Arabidopsis thaliana: one gene and its partner. The protein of the gene in region 1 binds, or shares a complex with, the protein of each later gene. Each region holds a gene or a part of one and is shown in the gene's direction. Other genes may lie near its edges.

Region 1 (3,755 bases):
ATTTTGTCAAGAAAACTGAAATTCTTACATTTCTTTCTCCATTTGCTTCCGGATAAACTCCTTGGTGTGTGCAGTGAGTTTATCGGTCTTGTTACAGCAAAGGAGGACTGGAATCTTCTTCTTGACAACATTCGCATTGGTCAGAATCTCGTATAGGTACCTATCACCATAAAAAACCATGGCAATGCCTCATTTTCAACATTGAGATGCAAACATATGCAAACATGTCTCTTATCTGTGTCTTACAATGCGTGTGTGTGGAAGAGAGAGGGTGTTTGAAATTACTCTGAAGCTGCACGACAGTTTGGGAGGAACTCCAAGGCATCCACTACGAACACAATGGCAGCTGCTTGGGGCAAGAATTCTTCTAGCTTGGGTCGAAGCCGAGAGTGCCCAGGAACATCAACAAGATGAACAGGCTTGATTTTTCCTTTCTGTCACAAAGAGCAAGCACGGGACATGGTTTAGTAATATGTTATTCCATCCATCACAATCAACTGCACGTGTTGTTTACAACAGAACACAGTAAGATTCTTTACCTTAGTATTTTCACTGTGAAGAACAAAAGTGCCTTCATTTGGTTCCATTGATGTTACAGTGCCCTGATGCGACGATCCATCTCGGAGCTGCCAATCAAACAATTATCGTGTTATAACTCTCCAACAATGACCTAGTCACTCACACTGACTCACAATAGTGACACATTACAAAAAAAAAGTACATTTGAAGGAAAGTCATAAACAATATTCATATGAAAAAGGTAACGTCAAGCCAAAACACTCACTTGGTAAAAGAGCACAGTCTTTCCACTTCCGGTCAGCCCAGAAAGGAGTACAGTGTTGGATTTGGTACGTCTGACCAGGCGAACTGCATACCCCAGCAAGAACAACAAGTTTAGCAACAAAAGATCAAAAGTTTGTTTATGTATAATCAAAGAAAAATCATGAATAAACCTCAGAAATTGCAATAATAGTTCTAATTCCAATACACAAAATACTCTGGCTTAATCACAAGTCTAAAATGGTACCATGAGAACTATAACCTCTGCAGTTGTAAACAATAGCAGGCAGAAGAAAAGTAATTGAAGACATTTAGAAGAAGAACAGGCTATATGTCCTTATCAATGGCAAACAAGATACTACCAGGGGGAGATCTTACATAAATAAAGCAATTCTACTAGGAAAGGATTAAGAAACAACAAAGTGGTGTCTAATACATACTGGATAGGAAGAGCAAGATGGTTGTAAACAACAAAACACCAATGGCGGCATACAGCTGATTCGGTGGTATCTTCTGAAGATATTCAATTCCTTGATGCGACCACTGCTCAGCCAGAATTTTCAGATCTTCCAAGTTCTCCATTACTCTCTCAAGTTTCACTTCTTCTGCCAAGCTGTTCAAAACCTGCATCCAGAGATGTAATTCATTCCTCTTAAGACATAAAAATAACCTAGAGTTAACTAGAAAACTCTCTTCTCCTACACAAACAACATGCATGGGAATAATTTAAAACTGCTTCCTGAAAACAAAAATTGAAATCGGAACTCTCTAATATTTGCAAACATTATATCAATACTGGTTCTCACATTATCATGTTCATCCTTGTGATAAACCCAGTACAGTGACAATAATCATCTTGTGAACAAGGAACACAATTTGTTTATCCCAATTTAAAACCAGTTTTACCAGATCAATACAACCCGTAGACCCATACACGATCATCCCAAGTTATGAAAAGATAAATGCTAATCCTACATTGATGCGCTGTTTCAACGAGATGTAAAAAAATACAAACAGATTCCTCTAAAATTCCAGATAATGAATATAGACAAACAAGAGCTAAAATTTACCCAAGAGTAAATGAATCCATTTGGTGGAAGAGATAGAAACGCACCGATGGGAGAGGAGGCGGAAGACGAATACAACGACGGTGGAAGCGGAGAAGAACACGGCGACGATGATTTAGGGTTCAGATTTAATTTTATATATTAAAACCAGTTAGTGCTTCTTCATTTCAATTTGTTTCGAAGATAGTTAATGGGCCGAATAAAAGCCCATTAAACGTCAATACGAAGTCGTTTCAACTGTATCTGCTTCATCGCTTCTTTTCTCCCTTCTCTTCCCGCCGTGAATCTGGTGTCTGTGTCTGCATCTCCTTCCGACGAAAACAGATACACTCGAGTGAAGAAAGTATGAAATTTAACTTTAACGAGACAGAGGATGCACCAGATTCACGACGATCTCCGACGCCCAAAGAGCCGGTTAGGTGGGTTCCTCTCCAGAGCCACCCGGTTTTCGCTTCTCTTCCTTCCTCCCAAGATGAACCCGCCGTGTCGCAGCTGTTTCCGAGAAATTTCATGGCTTGGGACGGAGACTCGCGCGTATACTACTGGGATTCGAGACGATATCTCCTTCACCGATTATCTCTGCGCTTGGGTGAACCTGAACCATCCTCCGTCCTCGCCGCAGTCCCGTCCAAGGTCATTTACTCTCTCTCTCTCTCTCTCTCTCTCTCTTTCTGTTTTCACCGCTAAGTCGGCCAAAATGAGTATTGAAAAGAAGATTTATCGAAAGCTCTTTTTTAGTGCTGACATTTTACTGACTTTGAGAAATTAGGTTTAGGAAGAGTTTGAGAAATTAGATTTCTTACTGATGGATGATAATAGGAAGATCTTTTCTACTTGCTATGTACTACTGTCAAAAACCTTTAGTTTTCCTCTGTTGTCTTTGCTACATAAGATAAATTATAGGTGATTGATTCATCATGTAGTGATTGACTAAGCTTTACTAATAAATGATATTATAGGTGATGCAACCAGACCTTCAGGTGACATTTTCTGTTAGCAAAATCTCCATCAATAAGTCTGGATCAGCTGTACTTCTTGCCGGCTCAGATGGGATATGTGTGATGTACCTATTTGGACGTGCTTCTGTGATAGAAGACAATGTCATTTGCAGGTAGTGATTAACGTTACCCTAATAAGATGCATTTATATTCATTGTTATCTTGATTATGATGTTATCTTGCTTAAATTAATGGCCTTCTGCTTATACGTTATCACTTCATAATCTATGTGTTGCAGGGTAGTTTCTATTGGTTCAGAAATCTATACTAGTAGTGACAGTGCCATAACCTTGCTACAAGCATCGTGGCACCCTGATAGTGACACCCATTTGGGAATTCTATCCTCGGATGCAGTTTTCAGGTAACAATCTTTTCGGCTGATAGTGAAGGTGGATGTACATGTCAATATATTGATCAATATCATTATGGAAAGATGTTAGAGAAATTGTAGAAAAAATCAGTTCCTAAGGTTGTAGATTGTTAGTTTCTGCCATGCAATGACTTACTATGTTACCATCTGGTCCAGTCTCTCATTATAAAGAATCAAATCGTTTTATTTAATCCTGATTTAAGAGCTTTTTAGCTTACTAAAAGATATTTGTATGCTAGGCTTTTCGATTTGTCTTCAGATACTGAGCTACCAGAGCAAGAATATTATCTGCAGCCCGGTGAGCCAGGAAGATCTAGAACAGCTTCATCAATTTATCCTGCTGATTTCAGTTTTGGAGGAGATCATCTGTGGGATAGATTTACTGTAAGTTCAGTACAAATTCTTGCTCCACTTGTTTGATAACTGACAGTGATTTTGTTTAGTTGTCTTGTCAAATAGAGCCTTGAGGATTACATGTTTAGGTCTTGACCTAATCTTTCAATTGGTGCAGGTCTTTATATTATTCACTGATGGTTCAAT
Region 2 (3,755 bases), on another chromosome or scaffold:
TGGTTAGACATATAGTTTAACTAACCCAACACAGCGTCTTTCATCAATCTTATGCTAGGAAACAGGAGACCATTAGTTTATCTTAAAACACCTTCTTTTTGTGTGTCTAAAGTCTTTAAGATAATATTTTAAGACTCAATTTTAGTCAAGATCGCAAATCATTGATAAGAAAGGATCTAAGACTTCAACCAACGAATGAATTTAGTTTAACTCAATTATTCAGATTCAACTGCATCGATCAGCATATGAAGTATGTAGAGATGTCAAAACCCAATTTACTAACGGATTAAAAAGCCCACAGGTTTTCCTTTTGAACTTCAGTGAAAACTTTGGTAGCTTAGTTAAGAAGCAGAAGACTCCAGCTGAGAGGAAATGGGCCTAAAATAGCCCACACATTCGACTGTCTTCAAATGGGCTTGAGACGGCCTGATATTGGTTTGGCTTGATATTGGTAAAACCTCTGATTGAGCTGGAGTATTCTGTTTCTGTTCAATATTGGTCACACAAATTCAGTAGTAGTATACAATTGGGCATGATCACAGAATCTTCAACTTCAAGTGCCAAAAATTTTCTTTTATGTTCTCAAGCAAAACATACTCCTACGCCATGGCCACAGTTCAAGAATCTGCTCACTATTAGTACGCCACTTCGTCGTCAGAAGACAAATGTTTTGCCTGATAACTTCAGCAGACACTTACATAGACCATGATCATCATGTTCAACATCTTATAAATCTATGTAAAAATGATCTCAATCAACTAATCAACACACCACTTACACATCAACAACAACTACCTACACTAGTCATTAATCTCATGCCATAACTTTCCAAGATTATCACAAAATGTGGCAAAAGCCACAACCTTTCTTTCATTTGCAATTACCATTTCATAGGCATTGTTGCTATGTTTCTCTCACCAGTGTATATCTATCTATTATCCATCACAAATTCATGCCAAACTCACAAGCTAAAGATTTGTCCTTGAGATTCGCTACTACTTGTATCATTGCTCTGAGATCCTAGTCTCACTCTCAATGAAACCAAATAGATCTTAAAGAAAGCATAACCAATAGCATTCAGAAGAAAATTCACATACAATTTTTAACAGCCTAAGCAGTATCTCGACTTCAATTGAAAAGACAACAAATTCAAAGACATAAGCTTTACCAGAAAAGACTCATCATTTCTTCTTCCCTTTGGGACCTTTACTTTTCTTAGTAGGCATAATGATTTCTCCTTTAAGCACAGGAATCTCCATAATCTCAGAAAGCCCAGCGAACCTCTTACGAAACTTCTCAACTTGATCAGCATCAACCATCAAAGCCGAACGATTCCCGAGGTAAAACGGATGGTTACCTGACCATACATCAACCACATACTCTTTCTTTGTTCCTCCTGTAGTCATCACCAGCTCTCCATTGCAGTAAACCTTTGCGTCTTCGTGGAATTCAGGATGCAATTCCTTCTTACGACACGTTATCTGAACCACCGTATTGCTGCTTCTTCTCACCGATTGTTTTCCTCCTTTCACTGCCGCCATCACCGGCTAATTTTGAAAAAAAAACACAAACAAATTTAGTGATTTTGGGGAAGGAGGAGAAATAGACGAAGAATGAGAAATCGATTTCGAGCTTACCTTTCTTAATTGCAGAGAAGGAACACATGGGCTAATCTGAAGAAACGAGTTCGGGAGAGAAACCGCCATTTTTGTCTTCAGGAGCTATCTTCTTCTTTTTTCCTGGTGATAGAGAAGAAACGAAGTAACGATTGATGGATAAGAGAATGAGGATGATGAAGTGTATTGGAGTTACGTTTATAACCCTAAATACTTTGAAGATATGTAAGGGTAATATGGTAATTTACATAGAGACTTCCTTTTGTTCTGTTGATACACTCTTCGTCAATCTAACGCTTCTTCATTTTTCTCGAGAGAAGCAAAACTACATATATATATACGCACATACGTACACAGTTCGAAGGTTTTAGCTGCGAGTATGAGGAAGGAACTGTGTAGAAACTTTCAGCGTGGCAGGTAAATACTCTTTTCATCATCATCATCTTCTTCTTCATCTGTTCTAGTTTTTGTTTTGATTCAATTTGTTGTTTTATAAGAGTTTTTGAAGTTTGTTTCGATTGCTGAAGTTTAGGTTTCGTGTTCTATATTCTGGGGTTTAATTTGAAATCAATCGATGTGCGAAGGTGGTAATGTGTTAGAAAACGATGTCTATTGAGCTGAAATCTAAATGAATCATACAGTTTATTGACTTTGATAGATTCTAATCTTCGTTTCCGCCATTAATGAGGGTTGATTTGCTTCGGAAGTTATGATTAGTGATAGTAGAAGCTTAGAGACGTAATTATTGGACTCATCGTCCTTTGTGCTGTTTTTGCAGTTGTAGGTATGGGGAAAACTGTAGATTTCTTCATCCACAACAAGCTAAGCCAAATAATCCCTTTGGCTTTGGTACACAAAACCAACAACAACAACAGCAGCAGCAGCAACAAAATAGTTCGAACCCTTTTGGATTTGGTGTACAAAGTGGTGGTTCCAGCAGACCGAATCAGTTCCAGGTCAATTTGTTTTTTTCCTCTTTTAAGATGCAAGTATTGCTTTGATAGAATGCAAGTTATCGTTCGGCTTTGGATGAGAAAAATGGTGCATCTTCTTTAAGAAACGAAAGCATTTTGCCTGTTGAATGAATGGTGACATGATGATGCTTTTGCAAATCAGAATACTTGGTCACGAACGGCTTCTACACCTACTGGTGGTGGTGCTGCTGCTTCTACACAGCAGACTGGTAAACAGACGCAGCCGGCAGATCATAAGTGAGTGTATATATGTTTACATATGCTTGTTCTATCAATTATCATCCTTTTAGCCGTTTGTTTCTTTGGAAATTTACTGTTTCTCTCTTGGTTACTATACAAAGATGCACAGATCCTGCTGCGTGTAAGCGGGTAATGCAAGACGATTTTAAGAATGAGAGACCCATGTGGAAGCTCACATGCTACGGCCACTGGAAATAGTATGTATTACTTCATTTGGTTTAGCATCCTTGATCTTTATCCATTCTTTATAAACGTGTCTGATTTTTTCTATCTTTTTTTTCTTCTAGTTTTCCATGTGATGTTACCGGTGATATCAGCTATGAAGAACTACGTGCAGTGGCATATGAAGAAGCTAAACGAGGAATACCTCTACAGTCGATTGTGAGATTAACCTTTCTTGTGTTTGTTATACTTTACACTGGTTTTCATTTCATACTGATAAGACATAAGTTGATTTCCTCTTTTCCTGGCTTATTATGGTGCATTATATAGGTTGAAAGGGAGAGGAATCTGCAAAATTCCAAAATAGCCGAGTTTGAAAACTTTCTACGGAATCCATACAAAGGCTCTGTTACCGCCAATCAAAGCCCGTTTGCTGCAACCACTCCTAGTATCTTCCCTCAGTCCAGTCAGATCAATTCCCCTTCTCCAGCATTCTCTGGCTTTAATCAACAAACTGCATTCTCCAATACCAATGCGGGTGGACTCAGGTATCAACTTTTGTGGGATTTCTCCAATTTTCATATCCCAAAAAGTTTGTGTTGCCTTCAAACTAACTCTCGGTTTCCATTTTTCCTCGACATAGTTCATCTGGACCTCCGAATGCCTTTGCAAGCTTCAATCAACAAACTACATTCCCCAATACCAATGCTGGTGGAGTCAGGTACTAACTTTCTCCATATTCCATATTCAAACAAGTTTGTGT

Evidence for each region.
Region 2: MOS7 (region 1) and AT1G75340 share a complex: the UniProt entries of both Arabidopsis thaliana proteins name them as parts of the nuclear pore complex.

Annotation. Positions count from the first base shown.
Region 1 is NC_003076.8:1,696,173-1,699,927, forward strand, and holds the start of MOS7 (nuclear pore complex protein-like protein), read left to right. Parts: upstream 1-2,097; 5' UTR 2,098-2,192; coding exon 2,193-2,480; intron 2,481-2,806; coding exon 2,807-2,958; intron 2,959-3,083; coding exon 3,084-3,206; intron 3,207-3,454; coding exon 3,455-3,599; intron 3,600-3,726; coding exon 3,727-3,755. Other genes in the region: AT5G05670 (signal recognition particle binding protein), read right to left, coding at 29-160, 286-434, 540-626, 785-867, 1,221-1,362. UniProt on the Arabidopsis thaliana protein: Involved in the regulation of exportin-mediated nuclear protein export. Required for resistance mediated by multiple R proteins and for the appropriate nuclear accumulation of SNC1 and of the downstream defense signaling components EDS1 and NPR1.
Region 2 is NC_003070.9:28,270,114-28,273,868, reverse strand, and holds the start of AT1G75340 (Zinc finger C-x8-C-x5-C-x3-H type family protein), read left to right. Parts: upstream 1-1,787; 5' UTR 1,788-1,995; coding exon 1,996-2,033; intron 2,034-2,143; coding exon of another isoform or gene 2,144-2,203; intron 2,204-2,394; coding exon 2,395-2,572; intron 2,573-2,732; coding exon 2,733-2,827; intron 2,828-2,931; coding exon 2,932-3,027; intron 3,028-3,117; coding exon 3,118-3,211; intron 3,212-3,322; coding exon 3,323-3,540; intron 3,541-3,635; coding exon 3,636-3,713; intron 3,714-3,755. Other genes in the region: emb2184 (Ribosomal protein L31), read right to left, coding at 1,182-1,547, 1,638-1,706.